5 linked regions of the Macaca fascicularis genome follow. The protein of the gene in region 3 interacts with the protein of the main gene of each other region in a biochemical or structural test. Links are inferred from orthologs where the notes say so. Each region holds a gene or a part of one and is shown on either strand. Other genes may lie near its edges.

The links.
Region 1: the proteins of MED1 (region 3) and ESR2 form a complex in vitro, tested with the Homo sapiens proteins (2 studies listed by BioGRID). The link is inferred for Macaca fascicularis from reciprocal best matches to the Homo sapiens genes MED1 and ESR2.
Region 2: the proteins of MED1 (region 3) and HNF4A form a complex in vitro, tested with the Homo sapiens proteins (2 studies listed by BioGRID). The link is inferred for Macaca fascicularis from reciprocal best matches to the Homo sapiens genes MED1 and HNF4A.
Region 4: the proteins of MED1 (region 3) and VDR form a complex in vitro, tested with the Homo sapiens proteins (5 studies listed by BioGRID). The link is inferred for Macaca fascicularis from reciprocal best matches to the Homo sapiens genes MED1 and VDR.
Region 5: the proteins of MED1 (region 3) and THRA form a complex in vitro, tested with the Homo sapiens proteins (6 studies listed by BioGRID, with this or other methods). The link is inferred for Macaca fascicularis from reciprocal best matches to the Homo sapiens genes MED1 and THRA.

The regions. Positions count from the first base shown.
Region 1 is NC_088381.1:132,119,384-132,125,344, reverse strand, and holds part of ESR2 (estrogen receptor beta), read left to right. Parts: intron 1-4,198; 5' UTR 4,199-4,288; coding exon 4,289-4,650; intron 4,651-5,961.
Region 2 is NC_088384.1:100,499,988-100,505,948, forward strand, and holds part of HNF4A (hepatocyte nuclear factor 4-alpha), read left to right. Parts: intron 1-913; coding exon 914-1,150; intron 1,151-5,512; coding exon 5,513-5,665; intron 5,666-5,961. UniProt on the Homo sapiens protein: Transcriptional regulator which controls the expression of hepatic genes during the transition of endodermal cells to hepatic progenitor cells, facilitating the recruitment of RNA pol II to the promoters of target genes. Activates the transcription of CYP2C38.
Region 3 is NC_088390.1:60,493,848-60,500,306, reverse strand, and holds the start of MED1 (mediator of RNA polymerase II transcription subunit 1), read left to right. Parts: upstream 1-2,164; 5' UTR 2,165-2,358; coding exon 2,359-2,383; intron 2,384-6,459. UniProt on the Homo sapiens protein: Component of the Mediator complex, a coactivator involved in the regulated transcription of nearly all RNA polymerase II-dependent genes.
Region 4 is NC_088385.1:54,595,809-54,601,769, reverse strand, and holds part of VDR (vitamin D3 receptor), read left to right. Parts: coding exon 1-47; intron 48-302; coding exon 303-423; intron 424-3,090; coding exon 3,091-3,262; intron 3,263-5,961.
Region 5 is NC_088390.1:61,145,762-61,151,722, forward strand, and holds part of THRA (thyroid hormone receptor alpha), read left to right. Parts: intron 1-1,227; coding exon 1,228-1,295; intron 1,296-1,864; coding exon 1,865-1,965; intron 1,966-5,961.

The sequences.
Region 1 (5,961 bases), on a different chromosome or scaffold from region 3:
ATAGGTACCTGTTTCTACTGAAGAAGATGTGGCAGCTCAGGGAATTTGTGGATTTGTCTAAGATTGCCTGACTTTCAGGCAGAGCTGGGGCTAGAATGATTGTTCTGCTCTGTCCGTTGATAGAATATACATAAGAACAGGCTTGATGGTGGCTGACCTTGTTTTTTTTTTGTTTTTTTTTTTGTTTTTTTTTTTTTGAGACAGTTTTGCTCGTCACCCAGGTTGGAGTGCAGTGGTGCGATCTCAGCTCACCGCAACCTCCACCTCCCCGGTTCAAGTGATTCTCCTGCCTCAGCCTCCTGAGTAGCTGGGTTTACAGGGATGCGCTGCCACGCCTGGCTAATTTTGTATTTTTAGTAGAGACTGGGTTTCTCCATGTTGTTCAGGCTGGTCTTGAACTCCTGACCTCAGGTGATCCACCCACCTCGGCCTCCCAAAGTGCTGGGATTACAGGCATGACCCATCCATGCCCAGGTGACTGATTTCTCTTTTTTTTTTTTTAAATGGAATCTCTCCCTGTCGCCCAGCTGGAGTGCAGTGGCATGATCTCGGCTCACTGCAACTTCCGCCTCCCAGATTCAAGCAATTCTACTGCCCCAGCCTCCCAAGTAGCTGGGATTACAGGTATGCACCACCATACTCAGCTAATTTTTGTATTTTCAGTAGAGATGGGGTTTCACCATGTTGGTTAGGCTGGTCTCGAACTCCTGACCTCATGATCTGCCCGCCTTGGCCTCCCAAAGTGCTGGTATTACAGGTGTGAGCCACCACGCCCGGCCCTGATTTCTTATTAACTAGATTTATAGTTGCTTTGATAAAAATCAGTCTAGTCTTTTTGGAGTGTCTTTCTGCCATTTCTAGGGCCAACCTTTTTCTTCTCCATGAATCACTGTCAATATTGGGAATTTTAAATACCTTTTTTTAAATTCAGAAGCCATAGTATGTTCCCCAGCCAGTATGTTAGAACACCATGCATGATCCCATGTGTACAAAAAGCTTTCTGGCTGAATTCGGATGTGACCTGAGAGGGCCAAACAGAGGGGTATGTGCTGGGGGAGTGAGAGAAATCTCTAGACAGAACACAGGCTGTTCCCCACCCAGGATATGGACCAACTATTTTAGGTTATGGTGACTAATTAAAGAAAATTGACATGCAAATAAATGAATAATTCTTAGAATCAGGATGTCTGGTACTGGTTCTTTGGTTGGCCAGGTGAAATTCCATGCCAGGCCCAACAATTAAACTCTTTAGAGACTTTTTTTTTCCTGTTGTACCAGAACATTGTACTGAGGCCATGTTTGAACATTCAAACGATGTGTTGGGAAAATGCTGCCTTACAATGTTAAATTAAATCTTTTGGGGAGTCTTTCCTTTGACCAGTTTATATCTCTGTTTTAGAGGAGGGCTTCTCAACCAGAATGGGTTTGTTGATTTATTTTTATAGACCTCTGGTAGAGAAGAGACCCCCCCCTTTTTAATTTTTTTTACTACCTGTTGTCCTGTCTCAGAGAACTATTACAATGGTGTAAGTTCATCATTCCTTCCCCTTATTATGGCTCTGCTTAGGAAGAAAAAATCTTTGCCTTGGCTACCAAGTTCCTATCTATTCAAGATGCCACTGACAAAGAGTGAATCTGTGAATCACATGAATCTGGTATATCTGAAATATATCCAAACAAAAAGCACCTAGCCTTTTAATGACTCTCCAGAAGTCAGTTCTCTGACTGTAATTATCATCCCTTTGGGGGTATGTGGAAATTCTACACAAGTTGATTGGTGATATGTTGAGATGTGAGATCTATATTTTCTAAGCAAAGTTGCCATGCACCTGATTGATTGGCTAGGTGCATCCTGGCGTTTGTCGTTTGTTGGTGTGGTCTGATAGTTGGTTTCACCACTGCTGGGTACCCAGAGTCATCACATCCATAGAGACAGAATGTAGGCTGGTGGTTGCCAGGGGCTGGGGGAGGGGAGGAGTGGGGAATTTGTTTAACAGATAGAGGCTTTTAGTTTTGCAAGATGAAATGAGTTCTAGAGATTGGTTGCACAACAATGTGAATATACTTAACACTACTGAACTTTATACTTAGAAATGGCTAGGATGGTAAATTTTATGTTACCTGTATTTTAATACACACACACACAAAAACTTTGGGCCAGGCACGGTGACTTACACCTGTAATCCCAGTACTTTGGGAGGCTGAGGTGGGCAAATCATAAGGTCAGGAGTTCGAGACCAGCCTGGCCAACATGGTGAAATGCCGCCTCTACTAAAAATACAAAAAATTAGCCGGGTTTGGTGATAGGCATCTGTAATCCCAACTACTTGGGAGGCTGAGATAGGAGAATCGCTTGAACCTGGGAGGTGGAAGTTGTAGTGAGCCAAGATCGCGCCACTGCACTCCAGGCTGGGTGACAGTGTGAGACTCCATCTCAAAAAAAAAAAAAAAAGCAAAAAAAAAGTAATGAGAGCTTACTTCAAGATGGCAGCAAAAGACAGACAGAGGAAAAAAGGCATTGGGAAAAAAAACCAACGTGCCTTGGTGATTAAAGTTAACTGAGTCAAGGGGAGAAGTCAAAGGTAACTATAATAGGCTTTTTCTATTAACACAAATAGGGAATGAGTGGTTTTGGGAAAGAAAGTGATGAATTATACCTCAGATATTATATTGTCTATTACTGTGGCCAGGCACAGTGGCTCACACCTGTAATCCCAGCACTTTGGGAGGCCAAAACAGTCAGATCACTTGAGGCGAGAAGTTCGAAACCAGCCTGGCCGACATGGTGAAACCCTGTCTCTACTAAAAACACAAAAATTAGTGTGGTGGCATTTGCGTGTAATCCCAGCTACTCAGGAGGCTGAGGCATGATAATTGCTTGAACCTGGAAGGCAGAGGTTGCAGTGAGCTGATATGGCGCCATTGCATTCCAGCCTAGGTAACAAGAGCGAAACTCTGTCTCAAAAAAAAAAAAAAAAAAGATTTGCCTGTAATGAGCCAGTACCCCCAGCTTTGTGCTCACTTTACATGCAAAAATTATGTTGTTTACTGTAGAGCAAAAATTGAAGGGCACATTCAAAACTGAGAGGTAGGCCAGGTGTGGTGGCTTACGCCTGTAATCCCAGCACTTTGGGAGACCGAGGCAGGTGGATCACTTGAGATCAGGAGTTCGAGACCAGCCTGGCCAACATGATGAAACCCCATCTCTACTAAAAAATACAACACATTAGCCAGTCATGGTGGTACACACCCGTAGTACAGCTACTTGAGAGGCTGAGGCAGGAGAATCGCTTGAACCTGGGAGGCAGGAGGTTGCAGTGAGCTGAGATCACGCCACTGCACTCCAGCCTGGGTGACAGAGTGAGATCCTGTCTCAAAAACAAAAAAAAGACAAAAGCAAAACAAAACCTAGAGGCAACAGATTGATAAGTGACACAGTTACACTGGTCAGTCTCTTCTGCTAATACCTGTTGTCTTTCATTATTGAAGATTCATAACATGTTTTCTTTTTTATTTTTTTTGAGATATGGTCTTACTCTATCACCCAGGCTGGAGTGCGGTGGCATGATCTCTCCTCACTACAAACTCTGCCTCCTGGGTTTAAGCAATCCTCCTGCCTCAGGCTCTTGAGTAGCTGGGACAACAGGCACATGCCACCATGCCTGGCTAATTTTTGTAGAGATGAGGTTTCACCATGTTGCCCAGGCTGGTCTCGAACTCCTGACCTCAAGTGATCCACCCACCTCAGGCTCCCAAAGTGTTGGGATTACAGGCGTAACTCACTCACTTGGCCTCAGTGTATTTTAATATTGGTTGAGACTAGCCTTGCTCATTGATCTTCTCTTTTAGGGTTTACTTGGTTATTCTTGCTTATTTTTCCATAACAACTTTCATTTTTATTTAATCCTGTGTTTTCTAGTTTTAAAGACTATTTTATAATAAATTTTCATCATTAAACTCTTGTGCTTAAACTGTTGATTAAACAAACAAACAATGAAGAGATGAATGAAGCAGAAAATGTGAGTTTCATGCCTCACATTCCCACTCCTCTGAGGTTAATATTTTCATATATATATTTTCAGGATGTATTTGTAATCTCATACAAATGTGTGTATTTTTTTAATGAAAATATTTAAATTTTTGTAGTTACACCTGTAGCTCTAACTAACTTGGCAATATCCTCTGTGTTTCTTTACAGCCATTATACTTGCCCACGAATCTTTGAGAACATTATAATGACCTTTGTGCCTCTTCTTGCAAGGTGTTTTCTCAGCTGTTATCTCAAGACATGGATATAAAAAATTCACCATCTAGCCTTAATTCTCCTTCCTCCTACAACTGCAGTCAATCCATCTTACCCCTGGAGCACGGCTCTATATACATACCTTCCTCCTATGTAGAGAGCCACCATGAATATCCAGCCATGACATTCTATAGCCCTGCTGTGATGAATTACAGCAGTCCCAGCAATGTCACTAACTTGGAAGGTGGGCCTGGTCGGCAGACCGCAAGCCCAAATGTGTTGTGGCCAACACCTGGACACCTTTCTCCTTTAGCAGTCCATCGCCAGTTATCACATCTATATGCAGAACCTCAAAAGAGTCCCTGGTGTGAAGCAAGATCACTAGAACACACCTTACCTGTAAACAGGTAAGTCCAGTCTTCATTCTGAATTATAGTTCCTAGCCATTTCTCAAATCACTTTATGGTTTAGTGAGAAGGAAATAATATGTTAGACAAGGTCTTTATTTTAATTTTAATTTTTATTTTTTTGAGACGGAGTCTCGCTCTGTCGCCCAGGCTGGAGTGCAGTGGCACCATCTTGGCTCACTGCAAGCTCCACCTCCCGATTTCACGCCATTCTCCTGCCTCAGCCTCTCGAGTAGCTGGGACTACAGGTGCCCATCACCACGTCTGGGTAATTTTTTGTATTTTTAGTAGAGAGGGGGTTTCACCATGTTAGCCAGGATGGTCTCGATCTCCTGACCTCGTGATCCACCCGCCTTGGCCTCCCAAAGTGCTGGGATTACAGTCGTGAACCACTGCGCCTGGCCTAAGTTCTTTATTTTATTAATTACATAGTTTACTTAGAGCACCCAAAACACAGGATGCCCTGTTCTATTCTGATACTTTAGTTCTCATTAAAAAGTGGTATGTGTACATCAGTGTTGTGGGGAGAATTTGCTATCATGACTATTGTCTTTATACAGTAAAGACTGAACTTAAGTCACTCTTTTTCTTTTTTTGAGACAGGGTCTCGCTCTGTCACTCAGACTGGAGTACAATGGCGCGATCTCGGCTCACTGCAACCTCCACCTCCTGGGTTCAAGCGATTCTAGTGCCTTAGCCCCCTGAGTAGCTGGGATTACAGGCGCGTGCCACCATGCTTAGCTCATTTTTTTTTTTTTTGTATTTTTAGTAGAGACAGGGTTTCACCATGTTGGCCAGGCTGGTCTTGAACTCCTGACCTCAAATGATCCGCCTGCCTTGGCCTCCCAAAGTGCTGGGATTATAGACGTGATGAACAACTGCGCCTGGTCTGAACTTAAGTCACTGTTAACGGAGTTATTTGGATTTGAAAAATGATTTTTACTTTACTTTCAATTTTAGAGTCGTCTTATAGTGAAATCACAATTTAATGTTAATGACAAATTGTTTCCAGGATAAAAGTAACTGTGGCAGTATTACAACTTAAATGAAATTCTAGACATGCAAAGCCTGAAAAGACAGATGATTGGTATAAGCTTTTTAACCATGAACTAGAATAATAACATTATATAAAGATTGGTGGAAACTATTGATGTAAGGCTTCAGTTAACATTCCCTGAAGTTATAAAGGATGTGTGTACTCTTTAAATGCAAGGTAATGTTATGGGTTATTTCCATCTAATTATTAACATTTCTAATGATAATAGGTATGAAGGGAAGGGATGGTATAATGAGAAAGGAGAGAGGGAGATA
Region 2 (5,961 bases), on a different chromosome or scaffold from region 3:
TTACTTGAGGTCAGAAGTTTGAGACCAGCCTGGCCAGCATGGTGAAACCCTGTCTCCACTAAAATACAAAAATTAGCTGGATGTGGTATGTGCCTGGGCTGAGGCAGGAGAATCGCTTGAATCCGGGAGGCAGAGGTTGCAATGAGCTGAGATCACACCACTGCACTCCAGCCTGGGAGTCAGAGGGAGACTCAGTCCCAAAAAATAAAATAAAATAAAGTAAGATAAAATAAAAATGGCAAATAAGACATATGCCTGCCCCTGCAGAGCTCAACTTTGGATGGCACAACAATTACATCCTGTGTGGTCAGCAGTGATGGAGGGGCCGCAGAGATTTGGAAACAGGAAGGACACAGGATGCAGACATAGGAGGGTAGAAGGGAGACTTCCTGGAGGAGATGAAACCTAACCTGAGTCCCTAAGGTGATAGGAAGCAGGAACCAGGGAAGGGGAGCCTATTCTAACACAGTAGAGGCAGCAAGTGCTGAGGTCTGGATGAGGGGACCTCAACTGTGGCCCAAAACCCCAAGTTCCCATCGTGGCTCTGCCAACAACTGGCTGTGCCACCCAGGACAAGCCCTATCCTTGCACTGTGTCTGGGTTTCCCCTTGTGTAAGATGAGGCAGTTGCTAGGTGCTTATTGGATGCGTTCCTCAAGTCCCGCCCTCCATCTCCTTTTCCCCACTCTTCTGGTTTAGTGCCTTAGGAAACGTGGCAGAAATCTTTTTCTGCCTGTGTCTAGGAAATTACAATTCATACTGGCATACCCTGGTTGTTGAGGTCCCTGAATCCTTGTGCCCACACTGCTGAAGACTCCTTGTGTGACACAAGTCAGGGGACATCTGGGTCTTGACTCCCCAGATTCTCCAGCTGGACCCTACTGCCCTCCCTTGCCCACCTTCTTCCATTGTAGATGCCAAAGGGCTGAGCGATCCAGGGAAGATCAAGCGGCTGCGTTCCCAGGTGCAGGTGAGCTTGGAAGACTACATCAATGACCGCCAGTATGACTCGCGCGGCCGCTTTGGAGAGCTGCTGCTGCTGCTACCTACCCTGCAGAGCATCACCTGGCAGATGATCGAGCAGATCCAGTTCATCAAGCTCTTCGGCATGGCCAAGATCGACAACCTGCTGCAGGAGATGCTGCTGGGAGGTCCGTGCCAGGCCCAGGAGGGGCAGGGTTGGAGGGGGGACTCTCTAGGAGACAGCCTCACACAGACCTGAGCTCACCCCTCAGCTCCTTGGCTTCCCCACTGTGCAGCTTTGGGCAAGTTGCTTAACCCATCTGTGCCTCAGTTTCCTCATCAGAAAAATGGGAACAAAGGCAATGGTCTATCTGTTCAGGCGCTGAGAGCCTAGCACATGCCAGTCACTGTTCTGAGTGCTGGCAATTCAGTGAAGAACATGATCTTTGCCCTCCGGGAGGCTGTGTATGTGTGAGTGTGTATAGATGCATGGATATCTGTGTATATGCCCGTATGTGTGTGCATGTGTGTATAAAGGCTCACATTTTATGATTTTGAAATAAACAGGTAATATGGTAGAGTTTAACTGAAAAGGAATCCTCTTTAGATAGGGGAGGCCAAAGGAGACCTCTCTGAAATGGTGACTCTTGTGCTAAGACCCTAATGGCTGAAAGGAAGTGCAAGGCTTAAAAGACAAGAGAGCAGTGGCTCACACCTGTAATCCCAGCACTTTGGGAGGCCAAGGAGGGCAGATCACGAGGTCGGGAGATCGAGACCATCCTGGCTAACACAGTGAAACCCTGTCTGTACTAAAAATACAAAAAATCGGCTGGGTGTGGTGGTGGGCGCCTGTGGTCCCAGCTACTCGGGAGACTGAGGTAGGAGAATGGCGTGAACCTGGGAGGTGGAGTTTGCAGTGAGCCGAGATCGTGCCACTGCACTCCAGCCTGGGCAACACAGCGAGACTCCATCAAAAAAAAAAAAAAAAAAAAAAAAAAAGAGAGGAATATTCCAAGAAGAAGGAACTACTTCAAGGGCCCCGGAGAGGAGAGAGTTGTGTGTTTGAGAAAGAAGGGCAAGGTTGTGAGATGGAGGAGATGGAGGAGGTGAAGATGGAGATTGGGCAGAAACCAAATCATAAACATATGGCTTTGTAAACCTTGTCAGAAATTTGGATTTTATTCTCATTGCAACTATTGTAAGGAGAGTGAAAACCAGACTAATTATTTTTATTCTTTGAGACAAAATTTCCCTCTATCATCCAGGCTGGAGTGCAGTGGCAGGATCTCGGCTCACTGCAACCTTCACCTCCCAAGTTCAAGCAATTCTCCTGTGCAGCCTCCCAAGTAGCTGGGATTACAGGCACCCGCCACCACGCCCAGCTCTTTTTTTTATATTTTTAGCAGAGATGGGGTTTCACCCTATCGGCCAAGATGGTCTCAAACTCCTGACCTCAAGTGATTGCCCACCTCGGTCTCCCAAACTGCTAGAATGACAGGCATGAGCCACCATGCCCAGCCCAGACTAATGCTTTAAACAAACCACTCAGACTGTTGGGTACAAAGTAAATTGCAGAGATTCCTGAGAATGTCACTGTCTCCAATCATGTGACAGATGATGAAGGCTTGGACCATGGAAATGGAGCAGTGAAGATAAACCGGATCATCTATTTGGAGGAAGAGCCCACACCCACAGGATTTGCTGACTGATTAGATGTAGGGAGTGACAGGAAGAGGAATAGTCAAGGACAGAGTCTAAATTTTTGCTTTGAATAGCAGAAATGATGATGGAGTAGTTTACCGAGATGAGGAGGACAGAATAAACAACTTGATGCTGCGGTCTGGGGGTGGTCGTGAGGGGTGACCTCAGAGATCCGTTGTGGACTCTCTTTTTTTCCTTTTTCCTTTTTTTTTTTTTTTTTTTTTGAGACGAGATCTCTCTCTGTCACCCAGGCTGGAGTGCAGTGGCGCAGTCATAGCTCACTGCAGCCTCAACCTTCCAGGCTCAAGAGATCCTCCAGTCTTCCGAGTAGCTGGGACTACAGGTGTGTGCCACCATACCCGGCTAATTTTTCATTTTTATTTTTTATAGAGACGACGTCTCACTATGTTGCCCAGGCTAGTCTTGAACTCCTGGTCTTAAGCAATCCTTCCGACTTGGCCTCTCAAAGTGCTGGGATTACAGGTGTGAGCCACCATGCCCAGCCTCATTGTGGACTTTCATTAAGCATGAGATGACTATTACAAGTCCAAGTTGCCGAGGAGGCAGTTGAATGTATGAGTCTGCTGCTCAAGCACAAGATTAAAGGCAGCTCTGTGGAATCGGGGGAAGATGGAGCCATGGAGGGAAGGGAAGAAGAATGGCCGGAGGGGTAGGAGAAAACCAGGGCAATTCCAGAATCCAAGAGAAGAGCGTGTTTGAAGGACAGAGTGTTTAATGGTGTTACACTCTGCAGAGAGACAGAAAGAAGGAGGGAGGAATGGAGAGGTGAAGGGAGGAGGGGAAGAGAGAGGAAAGAGTCCATTGGATTGGCAGCTGGAGGCTCTTGGCAATTGTGTTGAAAGCAGTTTCAGAGAGCTGGGAGAGTGGAAACCAGATTGGAGAGTGCTCCAAAGACAGCAAGTGGGAAGGTGGAGATAGAGTAGATAACCCTTTGAAATGGTTTGACTGTGAAGGGGAGTATGAAGGAGTTAGGATGACTGCAAGGGAGTGATTAGAATGATAGGTCATGCAGTCTGGGCTGCACTCAAAGAGAAATAAAGACAGAGGCTGGGTGCGGTGGCTCACACCTGTAATCCTAGCACTTTGGGAGGCCGAGGCGGGTGGATCACTTGAGGCTAGGAGCTCAAGACCAACCTGGCCAACACAGTAAAACACCATCTCTACTAAAAATACAAAAAAAATTAGCCAGACGTGGTGGCATGCGCCTGTAATCCCAGCTACTCGGGAGACTGAGGCAGGACAATCGCTTGAACCCAGGAGACGGAGGTTGCAGTGAGCCGAGATTGTGACATTGCACTCCAGCATGTGTGACAGAGCAAGACTCTGTCTCAACAACAACAACAAAAGGATGGGGTGATAGTGAAAAGAGAGTGTCAGTGAATTGACAGCCTCAGTAGGCTGAAGAAGTTTTGCAGTGATGGTACTAGATTAAGGGAGCTGGAAGGACACAAGGTGAAGTCAAAGTAGGGATGTTGAATTCGAGATTTTGGAGGTGCTTCAGTGAGGGCGAGGTTTCTCAACACTGGTACTATTGATACTTGGAACTGGACGATTCTTTGTTGTGCTGGGCTGTCCTGTGCGTTGTTTGGCTGCATCTCTGTCCTGTACCCATAAGGTGCCAGTAGCACTTCTCCAGTAGTGACAACCAAAAATGTCTTCGGATATAGTCAAACGTCTCCTGATGGGCCAAAATCATCCCCAGTTGGGAACCACTGTTGTGTGATAGCTTATTTCATTCTCACTTTGACCCTGTGAACATGGGGTTACTATGAATCAGGTGTCACTGAGATTAGGATCAGGAGCCTGTGGTCTGTTGCCAAATAGTTAAGAGCTCTGGGCTTAGTTGTCTCATCTGTAGAATGGGGTAATAATAGTATCCATTCTATAGGATTGTTGTAAGGATTAAATTATGTAAAACATGAAAAGTGCTATACAACAGTACCTGGCACATGGTAATTGTTAATTATCAACAGTCGTTATTTATCACTGAGATCGATGTGCTGTAGAGATCTCTTACAAGCATTGAAATTCCATCATTGTCATATTACTCACCATAGGCTATTATTAAACCATACCCCATGTGGTATTTTTACTCCCTGACACATGTTTAAAGCGGTTACTGTGTTCCAGACAATCTGCTAGGCTCTCAAAGAAAGAAGAAAAATACATCTGAAATTGTAATGCTCATAGACAGAAGAAGTAGTTGTTCCTAAAAGTTGTGTTACAGATAAATTACTATGAGAAATCCAAGGAATGAGAACGAGGAGAATCAGGAGAGGCTTCTAAAGAGAGGAAATATATGAGCTGGGATTTGGGCTTATGGACGTGGAGCGGGTTTGGGGTGGAAAAAACATCTCTGACGGAAGCAACAACGTGAGCAGAAGCATAGAGATAGGAAAACACAGGGGACACATAGATGCTATAAGTAGGTCAGTTGGCTGCAGCAGAGATGTGGGGGATGAGGCTGGAAGGTGAGGCGGGACCAAATGGTTGAAGGACTTGCACGCCAAGGAGCCTTGAGAGCCATTGATTACATCCAATACGCTACTCATTAGAACATTTACTTGATCTCAGAGCTTCCTTATAGGCACCTTGTTTCTTTCAACTCACTTTTGTTCTCTTGGTTTTTTGGGGCCTTCTTAACACCCTCATGAAGCCTACGAATGGGAATGGTACACCCTAGTTTACTAACCCAGGAATAGGTCCCCAACAGGCATTGCCAATATTGGATGGGCAGGTTGATTGGTCACACCTGAGGAAGATGGCGTCCCAAGGCCTGAGGTCTGCATCCCAGACTCTTCATCTTGATCGATCTTCTCTTCCTGCAGGGTCCTCCAGCGATGCACCCCATGCCCACCACCCCCTGCACCCTCACCTGATGCAGGAACACATGGGAACCAATGTCATCGTTGCCAACACAATGCCCACTCACCTCAGCAATGGACAGATGTGTGAGTGGCCCCGACCCAGGGGGCAGGCAGGTGGGCAACCTCTGGGGCTCTACCTTGCAAAGGGTGAGGATGGGGCTTAAGAGAGGAAGCAGGAGAAGGTGGAGTCTAGAAGGTAGAACCAGGATGCAACAATTTTCTGGGTTCCAGGGTAGGGAATAAAGGGCAAGGTTGTCCATTTGTTGAGGCTGTTTATTCAGTAAGGTGACTGACAACCTTTACTGAATGAAGCCATTGTTGGGATGAGGCAATCCACTGGATGAAGTAACCTATTGGGTGAAGATGTTCTTGGGTGAGAATCCCATTAGTTGACATTGTCCGTTAGGTAA
Region 3 (6,459 bases):
AATGGTGTGTTTCATCTGCATTTTCAGATGACAAATAACTTCTCATTCGATTGTGTAACCAGAAGTTAGTAAAGCTTATTTATAAGCTTTATAAAGTTAAAAATGTACTAGCAACACTTAGTACAGACATTTTTTTTATTTGTATAAAAAGTTTCCATGAGAAAGTGTAGTTGGGTATCTGGCATTGGTACTTAGGGCATAATAATTAATGAAAAAAATTTGAGCCCCTGTGATTACAGTGAACAATCATATTTTCAGAACTCTAAATAAGATTAGCCTATCAAAGGCTAGGGTTGTGTTTTTATGGTTGTTTATTTGTCTGAGACAGCGTCTTGCTCTACCACTCAGGCTGGAGTGCAGTAGCATGATCTCGGCTCACTGCAACCTCTGCCTCTGGGATTTAAGCGATTCTCCTGCTTCAGCCTCCTGAGTAGCTCTGTGCCTGGTCGTGTTTTCATGTTTGTATTACCAGTTCCAAATATACACATATTAGGACTCCACAGATGCTTACTAAGTGAAGAACACTTAGTTTGAGGATAGCAAATTATACAGTTTTTTCTTTTTTTTTTGAGACAGAGTCTCACTCTGTCACCCAGGCTAGAGTGCAGTGACATGATCTCTGCTCACTGCAATTTACGCTTCATGGGTTCAAGTGATCCTCCTGCCTCAGCCTCCTGAATAGCTGGGATTACAGGAGCGCACCACCGGGCTAATTTTTGTATTTTTCGTAGAGACGGAGATTCACCATGTTAGCCAGGCTGGTCTCAAACTCCTGACCTCATTTGATCCACCTGCCTCGGCCTCCCAAAGTGTGGGGATTACAGGCGTGAGCCACTGCGGCCAGCCAGAAATAGTTTTGAAACGAAAAAAATGAGAAAAGGGGAATGAACTGTGCTAGTCTCGCTTTGAACATCATGTTACAATGCGCCACTATCTTTTTTTTTTTTTTTTTTTTTTTTTTGAGACGGAGTCTCGCTCTGTCGCCTAGGCTGGAGTTCAGTGTCACGATCTCCGCTCACTGCAAGCTCCGCCTCCCGGGTTCACGCCATTCTCCTGCCTCAGCCTCCCGAGTAGCTGGGACTACAGGCACCCGCCACCACGCCCGGCTAATTTTTTTCTATTTTTGGTAGAGACGGGGTTTCACCGTGTTAGCCAGGATGGTCTCGATCTCCTGACCTCGTGATCCGCCTGCCTCGGCCTCCCAAAGTGCTGGGATTACAGGCGTGAGCCACCGCGCCCGGCCGCGCCACTATCTTTCTTAGGATGTAATTACTGCGTCTAGTATCTCAGGTTAAACTTATTTTTCTTTTTTTTTTTTTTTTTTTTTTTGAGACGGAGTCTTGCTCTGTAGCCCGGGCTGGAGTACAGTGGCCGGATCTCAGCTCACCGCAAGCTCCGCCTCCCGGGTTTACGCCATTCTCCTGCCTCAGCCTCCGGAGTAGCTGGGACTACAGGCGCCCGCCACCTCGCCCGGCTAGTTTTTTTGTATTTTTAGTAGAGACGGGGTTTCACGGTGTTAGCCAGGATGGTCTCGATCTCCTGACCTCGTGATCCACCCGTCTCGGCCTCCCAAAGTGCTGGGATTACAGGCTTGAGCCACCGCGCCCGGCCCAAACTTATTTTTCATGAGACATTTCTGATACCGATACCCTTTGAAATGCTAGTCTTGGCCGGGTGACTAGCCAAGGCGAAACCCCGTCTCTACTAAAAATACAAAAATTAGCCAGGCGTGGTGGCGGGTGCCTGTAATCCCAGCTACTAGGGAGGCTGAGGCAGGAGAATCGCTTGAACCCGGGAGACGGAGGTTGCAGTGAGCCGAGATCGTGCCATTGCACTCCGGCCTGGGCGACAAGAGCAAGGCTCCGTGTCAAAAAAAAAAAAAAAAAAAAAAAGCCAGTCTTTAAGTACAGCGACATGTTAATTAATCAGTTAATTTGCGAGTTAACTGCTAAAATAAAATAAGCAAAAAAATGCCGGTTTCCGAAGGGAGCTGAAAGCTACATACAGCGGCGTGAGGCCTGAGACAACTCAGATCAAAGAAGACAGGGCTGAAAGAAATCTCGCGAGGCCCACGCATCGACCAATATTCGCGAGATTTCGATGCCCTGTCCTTTTCCTCTTTCTGGCAGGACCACGGTTTATCTCGCGAATTTTGGGAAGTTCCGTTGGGGAAGATGGCGGCGGCCTCGAGCACCCTTCTCTTCTTGCCGCCGGGGACTTCAGACTGATCCTTCCCGCGAAGAGTAAGGGACTGCTGGTACCCTGCGTCCTGGAATCCCGAGCCAACTTGTTTCCCCCGTTAGTGGTGGGGAAGGGCTTATCCTTTTGTGGCAGATCCAGTCTCTCGCCGCCTTCAGGATGAAAGCTCAGGGGGAAACCGAGGGTAAGTGACTGAGGGGGAAAGGAGGGGGCGGGACACAACTGGGGGAGCCAGTTTGTGAGAGAAGGTTCTTGCAGATGTCCCATGGGGGCCACTTGAGGGGCACAGAGTCCGGGAGAGGGAATGTGTATGAGTTTTAGATTGTCACTATACCCTCCTTGATGACTATAGAGCTTCGACTTTGGGGTGATGGGGACTCTCAACTTCTGTGAAGATTTCATGCTCGGCTAGGGCACTTTTGGCCTAAAGTGGTGCGAGACGGGGCTAGTGAATACAAAACCAGCTTACATCTCCTTCCAGAAGAGACGCCTGAATAAATTTAGGGCTGTGTGTAAACGTACTGGAGACTATTTTGGCATGAATGAAATGATTAATTCCTTGTATTTATTAGCAGCCAGCGGATCCCTACAATGTCAAGTGTTCAGATCCTGTACTGTTGTGTATTTTGTTTTTGTTTTTGTTTTTTTTTTTTTTTTTTTTTTGAGACGGAGTCTCGCTCTGTCGCCCAGGCTGGAGTGCAGTGGCCGGATCTCAGCTCACTGCAAGCTCCGCCTCCTGGGTTCACGCCATTCTCCTGCCTCAGCCTCCCCAGTAGCTGGGACTACAGGCGCCCGCCACCTCGCCCGGCTAGTTTTTTGTATTTTTTTTTAGTAGAGACGGGGTTTCACCGTGTTAGCCAGGATGGTCTCGATCTCCTGACCTCGTGATCCGCCCGTCTCGGCCTCCCAAAGTGCTGGGATTACAGGCTTGAGCCACCGCGCCCGGCCTGTTGTGTATTTTTAAACTGTGCTGAATTTAATTCTTTTATTGACCGAACTAATAACTGCAGAAAAACAACTTTCCTGGGGAACTTTACTAAGATTTTCTAAAGTTCCACACTCCGGCTTAGATGCTTCCTTGGCATTTTGGGCATAGTTCTGTTGATACAGTGAGCTGTGTTATTGTTTGTTTATCTCCAGTTTACTCTGAGCTTTGCAGATTAGGGTCCTTGCCTGATTCATTTTTATATAGTTTCTGGAACGTAATAGTCGCTCAAAAAATCTTGGAGCATCGAAGTGCAGATATTTATCAGCAGGTTTCTCAAGAAAAACAAGGAGTGTGTTTTGGAGGAGAGGTCGAAAGGTGAGGCCCCGCGGGAGCAGTGACTCACATCTGTAATCCCTGCGCTTTGGGAGGCTGAGGCTGGAGGATCCCTTGAGCCCAGGAGTTCGAGACCTGCCTGGGCAACATAGTGAGGCCCTGTCTCTACAAAAAAATGAAAAATTGCCGGGCGCCGTGGCTCACGCCTGTAATCCCAGCACTTTGGGAAGTCGAGGCGGGCGGATCACCTGAGGTTGGGAGATTGAGACCAGCCTGACCAACATGGAGAAACCCTGGCTCTACTAAAAACACAAAATTAGCTGGCTGTGGTGGCGTATGTCTGTAATCCCAGCTACTTGGGAGGCTGAGGTGGGAGGATCACTTGAACCCAGGAGGTGGAGGTTGTGGTGAGCCAAGATTGTGCCATTGCACTCCTGCCTGGGCAACAAGAGGGAAACTTCCTCTCAAAAAAAAAAAAAAAAAAAAAATTGGCTGGGCGTGGTGGCTCATTCCTGTAATCCCAGCATTTTGGGAGACCAAGGTGGCGGATCACCTGAGGTCAGGAGTTCAAGACCAGCCTGGCCAACATGGTGAAACCCTGTCTCTACTAAAAATACAAAATTAGCCCGGCATGGTGGCATGCCTGCAATCCCAGCTACTTGAGAGACTGAGGCAGGAGAATCACTCAAACCCAGGAGGTGGAGGTTGCAGTGAGCCAAGGTGGTGCCACTGGACTCCAGTCTGGGCAACGAGAGCAAAACTCTGTCTCAAAAATATAAATAAATTAATTAAAAATAAATAAATAAATAAAATAAAAAATAAAAAAAATTAGGGCCAGGTAGTGACTCAAGGATGTAGTCCCAGCACTTTGGGAGACCGAAGCAGGCAGATCACTTGAGCTCACAAGTTGGAGACCAGCCTGGACAACCTGGCAAAAGCCTGTCTCTACAACAAATATAAAAATTAACTAGGCATGGTGGCACAAGCCAGTAGTCTCAGCTACTTGGGAGGCTGAGGTGGGAGGATTACCTGAATCCTGTAGGTCAAGGCTCCAGTGAGCCAGAATTGTGCCACTGCACTCCAACCTGGGTGACAGAGCGAGACCCTGTTTCAAGGAAAAATTAGCTATAGCCCCAGCTACTCTGAAGGCTGAGCTGGGAGGATCACTTGATCCTGGAGCATGGGAGGTCGAGGCTACAGTAGACCTTGATTGTGCCAATGCACTTAAGCCGGGGCTGCAGAGTGATGCTCTGTCTTAAAAAAAAAAAAAAAAAAGAAAAAATGTACTCCTCAGGTGCAAGGGGAGAAGGGTAAAAATGGAAACTTTGTGAAGTAGGAGTTTTTGTCTGGTTTGTTCACTGCTGTCTTTTTAGCAATTTCATTTATTCTTTTTCTTTTTTTAAAAAATTTTCCTCTCTAACCCAGTTCAATAACTTTTTTTTGACACAATGTCTCCATCTGTTGCTCAGGATGGAGTAAGTGGTGTGATCAAGGCCCATCTCTGAAGCTTCGACCTCCCAGGCTAAGGTGATCCTTCTGCCTCAGCCTCCAGAGTAGCTGGGGACTGACTATAGGCACATGCCAGGAGGCTTGGCTAATTTTTTTCTTTTTCTTTTTTTTTGAGACAGAGTTTTGCTCTTGCTAATGCTGGAGTGCAATAGTGTGATCTCGGCTCACTGCAGCCTTTGCCTTCTGGATTCAAGCTATTCTCCTGCCTTAGCCTCCCAAGTAGCTGGGATTACAGGCATGCACCACCATACCAGGCTAATTTTGTATTTTCAGTAGAGACAGGGTTTGGCCGGGTGCGGTGTCTCAGGCCTGTAATCCCAGCACTTTGGTAGGCTGAGGTGGGTGGATCATCTGAGGTCAGGAGTTCGAGAGCAACTTGGCCAACATGGTGAAACCCCGTCTGTACTAAAAATACAAAAATTAGCTGGGTGTGGTGGTACATGCCTATAATTCCAGCTACTAGGGAGGCTGAGGCAGGGGAATTGCTTGAACTCGGGAGGCGGAGGTTGCAGTGAGCCAAGATTGCACCACTGTACTCCAGCCTAGGTGACAGAGCAAAACTCCATTTCAAAAAAAAAAAAAAAAAGTAGAGATAGAGTTTCACCATGTTGACCACGGTGGTCTCAAGCTCTTGACTTAGGTAATCTGCCTGCTTCGGCTTTTTAAAATGCTGGGGTTACAGGTGTGAGCCACTGCGCTTGGCCTGACAAATTTTTTTTTTTTTAAAGTAGTGACGAGATCTTGTTATGTTGCCCAAGCTGTAGTTGAACTCCCCAGCTTAAGTATTCTCCCATGTTGGCCTCCCAAAGTGCTAGCGAGGATTACAGGTGTGAGCCACAGTGTCTGGCCTCCCCAGCACTTTTACTAGTGCTTGAGGTCGGGTGTGGTGGCTCACACCTGTAATCCCAGCAGTTTGGGAGGCCGAGTGGACGGATCATCTGAGGTCGGGAGTTCGAGACCAGCCTGACCAATGTGGTAAAACCCCATCTCTACTAAAAATACAAAATTAGCTTGGTGTAGTGGTGCGTGCCTGTAATCCCAGCTACTTGGGAGGCTGAGGCAGGAGTACTGGTTGAACCTGGGAGGAGGTAGAGGTTGCAGTGAGCCGAGATCGCGCCATTGCATTCCAGCCTGTGCATCAAGAGTGAAACTTCGTCTCAAAAAAAAAAAAGTTTGGATAGAAAACAGTCCAGCTGTATGGTATTCCTTACATCAGACCTATAATTTGTGTGTCATCTTGCCATTAAAAATGTCTTCTTTTTTTTTTTTTTTTTTTTTTTTGAGACTGAGTCTGGCTCTGTCGCCCAGGCTGGAGTGCAGTGGCCGGATCTCAGCTCACTGCAAGCTCTGCCTCCCGGGTTTACGCCATTCTTCTGCCTCAGCCTCCCGAGTAGCTGGGACCACAGGCGCCCGCCACTTCGCCCGGCTAGTTTTTTGTATTTTTTTTAGTAGACATGGGGTTTCACCGTGTTAGCCAGGATGGTCTCGAT
Region 4 (5,961 bases), on a different chromosome or scaffold from region 3:
ACCATAAGACCTACGACCCCACCTACTCTGACTTCTGCCAGTTCCGGGTATGTCTGCCTGCTGGGAGGATGAATCGGTCCAGAGGAGAAGCACTAGTGGAACCAGGGCCCAGGGAGTAGGGACAGAGGGCAGGGGACATCCTGAACAGAACTGGGGTAGGGACGGAGGCTGCTCTGACTGCTGGCACTGAGAGGCTTCGCCTTTCCATAGACCTTCCTCAAAGCCATTCCTATCAGAGATCAGGGCCAAGATAGGAAAGTGACCCCAAAATGTGGGTCTGAGACCCCATCTTTCCCTTCCAGCCTCCAGTTCGTGTGAATGATGGTGGAGGGAGCCATCCTTCCAGGCCCAACTCGAGCCACACTCCCAGCTTCTCTGGGGACTCCTCCTCCTGCTGCTCAGATCACTATATCGCCTCTCCAGGTAAGCAGGACTTCAGTCCTCCATGGAGTAAGGGAGCGGGGGTGAGGAGTCCACCCCACCTGCCCTGGGGCTGCTGGATGGAAGGAGGTGGAAGGCTCCCTAATGGAAACTTACATACATACTGTGTGCCATGCAGTGTCCTCAAAACAGCCCGTCTGTTACAGAAGGGGGTGACTTGCCCAAAGGCCCACACTGGGGAAGAGGCCAAGCTGGGATTCCAGCTGTGCAGCATCGGGCTCCCGGGCCCATGCTTTTTCCTCTAAGCCAGGCTTCAGCCCATGGCCCCCTCCCTGGAGGTGACCTGCTTCCTTTAAGTGATATTTTAATCCTGGGCCCTTCAGAAGGTGAAATTTGGAGTGGGAAGGAGAATGTGTTGGTCCCATTGCGGCCCACCTTCCACCTGAGCTCTGGGGACCACTCTGGCCCTGGAGGACCTGTCCCCTCCAGCTCAACTGAGAGTCTGGGAGGCATCATGCTTTCCTTCCTTCCTTTTTTTTTTTTTTTTTTTTGAGATGGAGTCTTGCTCTGTTGCCTAGACTGAAGTGCAGTGGCACCATCTCGGCTCACTGCAACCTTTGCCTCCTGGGTTCAAGCGATTCTCCTGCCTCAGCCTCCTGAGTTGCTGGGACTATAGGCACGTACCGCCACACCTGGCTAATTTTTGTATTTTTAGTAGAGATGGGGTTTCACCATGTTGGCCAGGCTGGTCTCCATCTCCTGACATTGTGATCTGCCCCCTTGGCCTCCCAAAGCGCTGGGATTACAGGCGTGAGCCACCGCGCCCCGCCCATGCTTTCCTTCTTATGGCCTTTTTCTTCCTTCCTCTTCATCACCCTGCCTCATCTGCCCCCTGCTCTTGTCCTTCCTCCCTCTACCCCTAACCTGACCCTGCTGTCCTCTGCTTGGGGTCTGCAGGAGGGCAGGGATGGGAAAAAACTTTCCCCTCCAGGCAATTAGAACCTTAGATAAAGTAATTCCATACTCAGTGATGAATCTCTGCCCAGATCCAGAATAGATGGAAAGGGTCCCAGTGCCCCTGGACAGAGATACTAGTTAGAACACTTGCTCCCTGCATGATCAGCTGACCCTCCCAGCCCCTCACCTCGTAGGAATCCCTCCCACTTGTCACTTTTCTGTACTCACCTTCCTGCTCTTTTCAGTTGATAGCATATTTATTTATATCAATTAAGGCCAGTCTGTTTAATCCATATGTTGCTCTGTATTTCAGCTTTCAATAGTAATTCTATACTACTTAGGAGGCTTTTTGTTGTTGTTTTTTGTTTTTGCTTGTGTTTTGTTTTGTTTTGAGACAGAATCTCACTCTGTCACCCAGGCTGGAGTGCAGTGGCACAGTCTCTGCCTCCCCGGTTCAAGCCATTTTCCTGCCTCAGCCTCCAGAGTAGCTGGGATTACAGGCACCCACCACCACACCTGGCTAATTTTTGTATTTTTAGTAGAAATGGGGTTTCACCATGTTTGCCAGGCTGGTCTCGAACTCCTGACCTCAGATGATCTGCCTGCCTTGGCCTCACAAAGTATTGGGATTACAGGCATGAGCCACTGCGCCCTGCCTATTTAGGAGTTTTTTGATACCCTCTTGTAAGTTCACTGATTCAAGGTGCTTAAACCGCCCTCCCCACAAGTGGTGTGTTCAGTATAGCATATATTTATTTAAAAATTCAAACAAGTTAACCTTTTTATTTTTTAAAAAAATTATTATACAAAAGTAATACATGTTCATCTTAGACATTTGGAAAACATAAACTAAATTATATATATATATATACTTTAATCCTGCTACCCAAAGATAATCACTGTTAGCACTGTAATATATCTCTTGCCTCTTTTTTTAAAAACACATATGTACATTCAGAAAAGAAATTTTGCTGTATACAATCTGATGACTTGTTTTTTTAATATTGCATTGTTTTTCCTTACAATTTAGTATGCATCCAGAACATAATTTTTAAAGGCTGCACAGTATTTTGGAATACAATAATGTACCTAAATCCCCTACTATTGGATATCTGGATTATTTCCCAGTGTTTTAGTAAGACAACAGTATACTTATAGCTAAATATTTACACTTATCTGAAATTTTCCCTTACAATGAATTCCGGGAAGTGGGATTACTGGTCAAAGAGTACACACAATTGTTTCACTAATGTCAAATAGCTTTCTAGATTACCTGCAGTAATGTGCATCTCCTTTAGCACCCCAGCCCTCATAGGCATTGCCTATTTCCTACATCTTTATAAATACTGGCATCAGTATTTAAACATTTTTGTTTCTGGTTTATAGGTGAAAAGTGTAGATGTTCTACATTGCAGTTCTTTGATCATTAGCAAGGTTGAACATTTTTTTCCATGGGTTGATGGGTCCCAAATTCATTTCTGATTGAGATCCGTAGGAACAGCACATGGTCTGCCTGAGGAAGTCTCATTGCTCTGAGTGTCTCTGGCTCCTTGCTTTTACTGTCTCACGCTGCTGAAAGAGGCAGAGAGAGTCCCAGAGGGAAGCCTGGGCTGAAGGGTGACCTCTGGAATCACTGCGGGATTCCCAGCTGGCTCTCCTGCCAGGGCACACCAGGTCTTTGCAGGGGCTGGCAGGAGTGGTCCTGGTCCAAGTACCCTTAAATAGCTCCTTCTCTTCCCTCATCTCCCCCAGACATGATGGACTCGTCCAGCTTCTCCAACCTGGATCTGAGTGAAGAAGATTCAGATGACCCTTCTCTGACTCTAGAGCTGTCCCAGCTTTCCATGCTGCCCCACCTGGCTGACCTGGTCAGTTACAGCATCCAGAAGGTCATTGGCTTTGCTAAGATGATCCCAGGATTCAGGTAAGAAACTTCTGCAGTATCTAGGGAACAGAGTCAGAGTCCTAGACTGAGCTATAAGAAGGGCTGGAGATCACCCATCCACCACTCCTTTTTTTTATTTTTTATTTTTTTAAATGGAGTCTCACTCTGTCACCCAGGCTGGAGTGCAGTGGCGCCATCTTGGCTCACTGCAACCTCTGCCTCCCAGATTCAAGCGATTCTCCTGCCTCAACCTCCCAAGTAGCTGAGATTACAGGTATCCACAACCATGTCCAGCTAATGTATGTATGTATGTATGTATGTATGTATGTATTTTTATTTTTCCAGATGGAGTCTCGCTCTGACACCCAGGCTGGAGTGCAGTGGCGCTATCTCGGCTCACTGCAACCGCCACCTCCCAGGTTCAAGCGATTCTCCTGCCTCAGCCTCCTAAGTAGCTGGGATTACAGGTGCATGCCACCATGCCCGGCTAATTTTTGTATTTTCAGTAGAGATGGGGTTTCACCATGTTGGCCAGGCTGTTCTCGATCACCTGACCTCATGATCTACCCGCATCGGCCTCCCAAAGTGCTGGGATTATAGGCGTGAGCCATCACACCCTGCCCTAATTTTTTTATTTTAGTAGAGACGGAGTTTCGCCATGTTGGCCAGGCTGGTCTCAAACTCCTGACCTCATATGATCCACCCGCCTCAGCATCCCAAAGTGCTGGGATTACAGGCATGAGCCACCACACCCAGCCTCCATTGCTTTTTTAAAATAGAGATTCAGGCCCTACCCTAGACCCGCTAAATCAGAACCTCTGGCGTAGGACCAGAAATCTGTATTATGAAGTGCAGCCTATCCTGCATTACTCTGCAGGCCAGCACTGGAGAGCTAGTCCATCCCCTCACTTTCTGGATGATGGTGTAGAAGCCCAGAAAGGTCCAATGGCCAGCCAGGATCCCTTCCTGGTGTTGGAGCCAGCACGTCAGAGCCAGGCCTAGAACTCCCAGCTCACTGTTGTGTTACTCCAGCTGGCTTGACTGGCATCCTCATATTATCTCTTTAAATTCAACGACATGATTCCTCCACACCCCAACTCTGAGAGTAGAATGAAGTGATAGAGAGGAGAAGGGTTGGCCATGTAGACTTGTGAAACAGTCTGGGAATCCTGGAGAAAGACAGGTTTCCTGGCATATATGACCCCGGCATCCTTCACCAAAATGAAGACCATTTAAAGACCATTTCCTGGCCAGGCGTGGTGGCACATGCCTATAATCCCAACACTTTGAGAGGCTGAGGTAGGAGTTCAGCCCAGGAATTCCAGACCAGCTTGAGCAACATAGTGAGACTTCTTCTCTACAAAAAAAAAAAAAAAATTTATAAATTAGCTGGGTGTGGTGGCACATGCCTGTAGTCCCACCTACTAGGGAGGCTGAGGCAGGAGGATCACTTGAGCCCAGGAGGTCAAGGCTGCAGTTAGCCATGATTGTACCACTGCACTCCAGCCTGGGCAACAGAGCAAGATCCCGTCTCAGAAAAGAAAAAAATAAAGACCATTTCCTAACCATACTGAAACATTTTTTGCCAAAATAGGTAAGTATAAGGAGTTCTACTGGAGAAGGGATCCTCCTTTATCAATTCACTCATATAAATTTCATTCATTTATTCCCATGTTTTATTGTTGTAACACTAACAGTGTATATAATACTTATATTTAAATGCTCATACAGTGTTAATATTCTTTTTTTTCCTTTTCTTGTTTGAGACAGAGTTTCGCTCTTGTCACCCAGGCTGGAGTGCAATGGTGCGATCTCACTGCAACCTCCACCTTCTGGGTTCAAGCAATTCTCCTGCCTCAGCCTCCCAAGTAGCTGGAACTACAGGAGTGTGCCACCATGCCAGGCTAATTTTTTGTATTTTATTTTGAGACAAGACTTTCCCTCTTGTTGCCCAGGCCAGAGTACAATGACACAGTCTCAACTCACTGCAACCTCTACCTCCCGGGTTCAAGCAATTCTCCTGCCTTAGCCTCCCAAGTAGCTGAAATTACAGGCACGCACCACCACGCCTGGCTAGTTTTGTATTTTTAGTAGTAGAGACGGGGTTTTACCATGTCGTCCAGGCTGGTCTCGAACTCCTGACCTCAAGTGATCTGCTGGCCTCAGCTTCCCAAAGTCCTGGGATTACAGGCGTGAACCACCACGCCCAGCCAATATTCTTAAAACAATAGAGTACTGACACATTTAGTAGATGTGTTGGGAGATTGCTATATTTATGTATGTTTGTACCTTAATTCTTCCCAAAAGTTCATTTGGCATATTGCCATAAAATACATAAACAATATGGTTGAGAAAGATAAGTAAATCGATCTTAAGCAACGTTATTATCATTTTAAGTAGCAGCAATAGCTGTATTTCCGGTAGAAGGAGAAAAATGCTTCCTAGATACTAATGCTCAGATTCAGTGCTGGAATACGGGGAGCTGGAAAGTGAGTTAACATTGCTGGCTCTGGATGGAAGCAGATATGAGGTGCCATATATCCGTTTGTGAACCTCTTAGCTGTGTAGAAAAGCCATCAGTTATTGCCTAAATTACTGCCTTGCCAGTGAGATGATGGTCATTCACAGAGTTAAACCCAGAACTTTCCAGTTCGTTTCTGCCCTGAGAAAACTGGCTCTGTGTTATTTTATGCCTCTCACCAATCCAAATACCAGAAATTTTTCAATGCTCTTCCTCT
Region 5 (5,961 bases), about 650 kb from region 3:
CCCTAAGACTGCAGCCCCTCCCCCATTGCCTTCCCCTCCCCCATGTCTATGCGCCACCTTGTGGCTATCTCTAGGACTGCACTCAGAGGCTGTGAGTCTGGTGGTAACTCCTGAAGCTGCCAGCTCAACTGGGACCTAGGTGGCCTGAGTTCCCCTGCACCCAACCTTCTGGAAGGCGTGAGGGAGACCTGACCTTTCAGCCTCGTAGGAAGTAGACGGGAGTAATCCCCAGGGGGCGTGGAGCACAGAACTGTCTGTGACTGTGACCCTGGCCAAGGTCACTGTGTCAGTGTGTTGGGAGCTGCATCCGGCTCCAGGAGGAAGGGGCCTGCAACATGCCACACACAGGGTGGGTGCGGGAGCTTATACAATCCTTGCATGCATGTAGAGGGTTTATGTAACCTGTGTGCACTGAGGTTATGTAACATGTATGTGGAGAGCCTGGCAACATATATGTGCAGTGGCTGAGGGTTGCTAATAATACCTTGCACAGAGGGGCTCAGTCCTGGCTCTGACTCCAGCTCATGGTGTCACCAGGCACAAGTAGGGTCTCAGTTTGCTGCTTTGTTAAATGGAGGCTGTGCAGGGGGTGACTCTAGTGTTTTCCATTGCTGTGGGTTATTTAGCATGTATGTATGATCTGGAGCTCAAGCAACACGTGCACACTGGCGGGATGAGGGTGGTTTTATGAGGTGCCTGTGCAGAGTGTTGTGTAACACCGGGCCATATCCTAGAGGTTGTATAGCACATTTAAGAATGCCCTGAAAATTTCACAGATATGTCAGCCCTGGTGCATACTCACCATCCGTGGGTTTATAGTGAAAGCTGCATGGTTATTCATCTGCGCCGGTGTTATGTTGCATATGTATGTGTGTGTTCTAAAGGTTACATAGCTTTAAGCATATCCTGAGAATTCTTCCAGCGTATTTGTCGTGTACTGAAAGATGAGGATGTCCTGCGGATTGTGGGTGCTTCAGGTCTTCTGGTGGGTGAATGTGTGTGTGTTGGGGCTCTAGAACATGCTTGTGCCACAGCCAAGCCCCTTATCTCTCTCCCCTGCAAATTCCAGATAGCTGGACCCTTTTAAGCATTGTCAGCTGACCCTGGGGGTGGGAGGTAGAATGAGGACACAAAATGGAGCCTGGGGGGGATTGTATAAGCCTCTTGGATGAGAAAGGGGCCACCCGAAGACTGCTCTGTGATTCTGCCCACTTTGCCCCCATCCAGTGCCAGGTCACCAGATGGAAAGCGAAAAAGAAAGAACGGCCAATGTTCCCTGAAAACCAGCATGTCAGGTGAGGCTGGCTGTGCGTGCCCCTTCTCCACGTCCCCGACCCCACCAAACCCAGCCAGGGCTCCCTCTGGACCTGGACGTGGAACAGTAGTTCCTGTGTTCCCTGGGGGGAGCTTCCTAGAGGGCTTGGGATGGACTTGTCTGGGGCTGAGAAAGGTGATGATGGATGTGCCCAGCTTTTGAGGGTGGATTAGGTCAGGAAGGCCTCTTCCCTCCCCCTAGTACTCTCATCTGAGGCCCCACCAGAATCAGGGCCTGAGCTGAAGGACTGAGGGGCTGTGTTATCCCCAGTGAGCTGCTGAGATTTATTTTTCCCTCTCCACCATCCTCTGCCTTGTAGATAGAGCAAGAAGAAAGCCCTGAGTGGGTAGTCAGAAGAACTGAGATTCTTCATACTCTTAGGGCAGAGGATGGACAGGTTCACCTCCCGTCTCTCTAGGATTCTACCAGGGAGGCTGGGCTAGGAGAGGGGCCAGAAACAAAAAGTTGAGGGATGGGGAAAAGTGTGAGAGCCCCTCTGCTGGGACTTCAAGCCATGCCTGCCTTCCTCCATCCTTTCCTTCCTCCCAGGGTATATCCCTAGTTACCTGGACAAAGACGAGCAGTGTGTCGTGTGTGGGGACAAAGCAACTGGTTATCACTACCGCTGTATCACTTGTGAGGGCTGCAAGGTATGGAAGCTACCTCCTGCCCCTCCCCTGCCACCTGAGCCCCCGTCTTACTCCCTGTGTCACCTAAAGCCCCCCTGTTAGGTCATCACTTTTTTTTTTTTTTTTTTTTCTGAGACGGAGTCTCATTCTCGTTGCCCAGGCTGGAGTGCAGTGGCGTGATCTCGGCTCACTGCAATCTCCACCTTTGGGTTCAAGCGATTCCCCTACCTTGGCCTCCCGAGCAGCTGGGATTACAGGCATGTACCACCACACCCAGCTAATTTTTTTGTATTTTTAGTAGAGACGGGGTTTCACCAACAGTGTTAGCCAGGCTGATCTCAAACTCCTGACCTCAGGTGATCCACCCGTCTCGGCCTCCCAAAATGCTGGGATTACAGGAGTGAGCCACCGTGCCTAGCTATTTTCTCTTCTCTTATTCATTCATTTGCTCATTCATAATTCCTCCTCTGCCACTCACAGGAAAATTGCCTAACTTCTTTGAGCCTTAGTTTCAGTTTCTTCATCTATAAAATGGGGATAATCATTCTCTCTACCTTATGGCATTGTTGGGAGAATGAAATAATTCACCTGAAGTGTTGAAAACAGTGCCACCGGGTGCTGTGTCTCATGCCTAAAATCCCAGCCCTTTGGGAGGGAGGCCAAGGTGGGAGCATCCCTTGATCCCCCGAGTTTGAGACCAGCCTGGCCAACACAGTGAGACCCTGACTCTCCAAAATTAAAGAAGTTAGCTGGGTGTGGTGCCACATGCCTGTGGTCCCAGCTGCTCAGGAGGCTGAGGTGGGAGGATTGCTTGAACGCAGAAAGTCAGGGCTGCATTGAACGGTGGTGGTGCCACTGCACCACTTGCTCTGGTGACAGAGCAAGATTCTGTCTCAAAATAAAATAACAAAATATAAAAAATAAAACAGTGCCACGCCCATAAGAAGCATTTAATAAAAAATGCCAGCCATCAGCCATTCATTCAGTGTATTATTAGGTGTGAGAGTGTAGTACATACCTTGCCCTCAAGCTGCTCACAGCCTGTCAGAGAGAGACACAACTTGAGACAAACATCAGCAAACATCAGTGTTATTCAAAATGTGGTTCGTGGACCATCTGCCCTACTAGTTAAAATGCAGATTCCCAGGCTTCATCTTTTTTTTTTTTTTTTGAGACAGCATCTTGCTCTGTCGCCCAGGCTGGAGTGCAATGGCACGATCTCGGCTCACTGCAACCTCCACCTCCCAGGTTCAAGCGATTCTCCTGCCTCAGCCTCCCGAGTAGCTGGGACTACAGGTGCCCACCACCATGGCCGGCTAGTTTTTATATTTTTAATAGAGATGGGGTTTCACCATTTTGGCCAGGACGGTCTCGATCCCTTGACCTCGTGATTCGCCTGCCTTGGCCTCCCAAAGTGCTGGGATTACAGGCGTGAGCCACCGCACCCGGCCTGCCCAGGCTTCATCTTAACCCTACTCGCTCAGAGCCCTTTTGTGGAGCCCAGGGATCTTCCTTTTAACAGAATCCTGGAGTGTTTCCAATGCACCTGAAAGAGCAAGAGCCAGTGCTGGGGGTGTAGTGGGAGCTGGGAGCACAGAGGAGAAGAAGACAGCAGGTTCTTCCTGGCAGAGGGGACAACAAGGTCATAGACTTTGGGAGGCCTAACTGTTTTGTTTTGTTTTGTTTTGTTTCTTTGAGACGGAGTCTTGCTCTGTTGCCCAGGCTGGAGTGCAGTGGTGCGATCTTGGCTCACTGCAACCTCTGCCTCCGGGGTTCAAGCAGTTTTCCCTGCCTCAGGCTGGGTAGCTGGGATTACAGGCACCCGCCACTAAACCTGGCTAATTTTTGTATTTTTAGTAGAGATAGGGTTTCACCATGTTGGCCAGGCTGGTCTCGAACTCCTGACCTCAGGTGATCTGCCTACCTCTGCCTCCTAAAGTGCTTGAGAGGCCTAATTAGATTTCACTTTGATCATTTCAGCCTGGATAGCCTTTCCAGGATCACCTCCTAAAAATTCAAGGCCTTCCAAGAAACAGAATTATTTAAATCCCAGCACTTTGGGAGTCCAAGGCAGGCAGATCACCCGAGGTTGCATTGTTTTCAACACTTCAAGTGAATTATCTGATTTAATTCTCCCAACAGTGCTATCAGGTAGATAAAATGATTATCCCCATTTTATAGATGAAGAAACTGAGACTCAGATAGGTTCAGCAATTTTCCTGTGAGTGACAGAGAAGGGGTTATGAATGAGCAAATGAATGAATGAGTAAGGTCAGGAATTTGAGACCAGCCTGGCCAACATGGTAAAACCCTGTCTCTACTAAAAATACAAAAATTAGCTGGGTGTAGTGATGCATGCCTGTAATCCCAGCTACTTGGGAGGCTGAGGCAGGAGAATCTCTTGAACCAGGGAAATGGAGCTTGCAGTGAGAGCAGAGATTGCATCACTGCACTCCAACGTGGGTGACAGAGCGATACTCTGTCTCAAAATAAAAAAAAAAAAAGAAAAGAAACAGAATTATTTATATGTTAAAGGCCAGGTATGGTAGCTCACGCCTGTAATCCCAACACTTTAGGAGGCCAAGGCGGGAGGATTGCTTGAGCCCAGGAGTTTAAGAACAGCCTGGGCAACATAGTGAGACCCTGTCCCTACAAAAAAATGTTAAAAGCAGCCAGGCATGGTGGTGCACGCACACCTGTGGTCCCAGCTACTCAGGCAGCTGAGGTAGGAGGATCACTTGAGGCTGGGAGGTCCAAGCTGCTGTGAGCTGTGATTACGCCATTGCACTCTACCCTGGGTGACAGAACAAGACCCTGTCTCAAATAAAAAAGGAAAAAAAGGTTAAGGCTTGAAGTTTCTCTCTGTTTCTTGGTGTCAACCAAACCAAGACCATGAGGGATTTAGAGTTCCCTAGCAGTGGCAATACAATCCTGGAAGCAATACAAACAGTGTAGCATAGAGAAAGGATCTTTTACTCTTATGGACATCTGAGTCCCAGGGAGACACCCTGAAAAGGCAGAGATGCCTTGGCCCCACCCTTGGAGAGTTTGATTTTGTAGTTCTGGGGTGAGACCCAGGAATCTGCATCTTTGGTAGGTGCTTTTGGTGATTTTTTTTTTTTTCAAGACGGAGTTTTGCTCTGTCACCCAGGCTGGAGTGCAGTGGCGTGATCTCAGCTCACTGCAACCTCTGCCTCCCAAGTTCAAGCACTTCTCCTGCCTCAGCCTCCTGAGTATCTCGGATTACAGGCGCCTGCCACCACACCTGGCTAAGTTTTTCACTTTTAGTAGAGACGAGGTTTCACGATGTTGGCCACGCTGATCTCGAACTCCTGACCTTGTGATCCACCCACCTCAGCCTCCAAACCAAAGTGCTGGGATAATAGGCATGAGCCAACATGCTCAGCTGCCTTTGGTGATTTTAATGCCCCCTGGAATCTGAGAGCTCAGACCTTGGTGTCCCATACCTGAGGCTCAGTTCTGACTCTGCTACCCACTGGCCACATGACTTTGGGCAAATTGCTTCATCTCGCTAACCTTCAGTTTCCTTGTCTGCAAAGTGGAGGCAGTAACAGTTCCTACCTCATAGGATTGTCCAGAGGGTTCAGAGTGATGTTCCATGAAAGACAAAGCTTATCTTTTGCAGGTTTTCTTGTTTTTTTTTTTTTTTTTGAAATGGGGTCTCTTGTCACCCAGGTTGGAGTGCAGTGGTGCAGTCAGCTTACTGCAGCCTTGACCTCCTGGGCTCAAGCAATCCTAAGCAATCCTCCCACCTCAGCTTCCAGAATAACTGGGACTATAGGTGCACCTCACAAACCCTGGCCAATTTTTGTATTTTTAGTAGAGATGGAGTCTCACTATGTTGGACAGGCTGGTCTTGATCTTGAACTCCTGGCCTCAAGTGATCTGCCTGCCTCGGCTTCCCAAAATGCTGGGATTACAGGTGTGAGTCATTGTGCCTGGCCAGCAAGGCTTATCTTTACTAAGTGATTGACACATTGTAAATGTGAAAAAAAT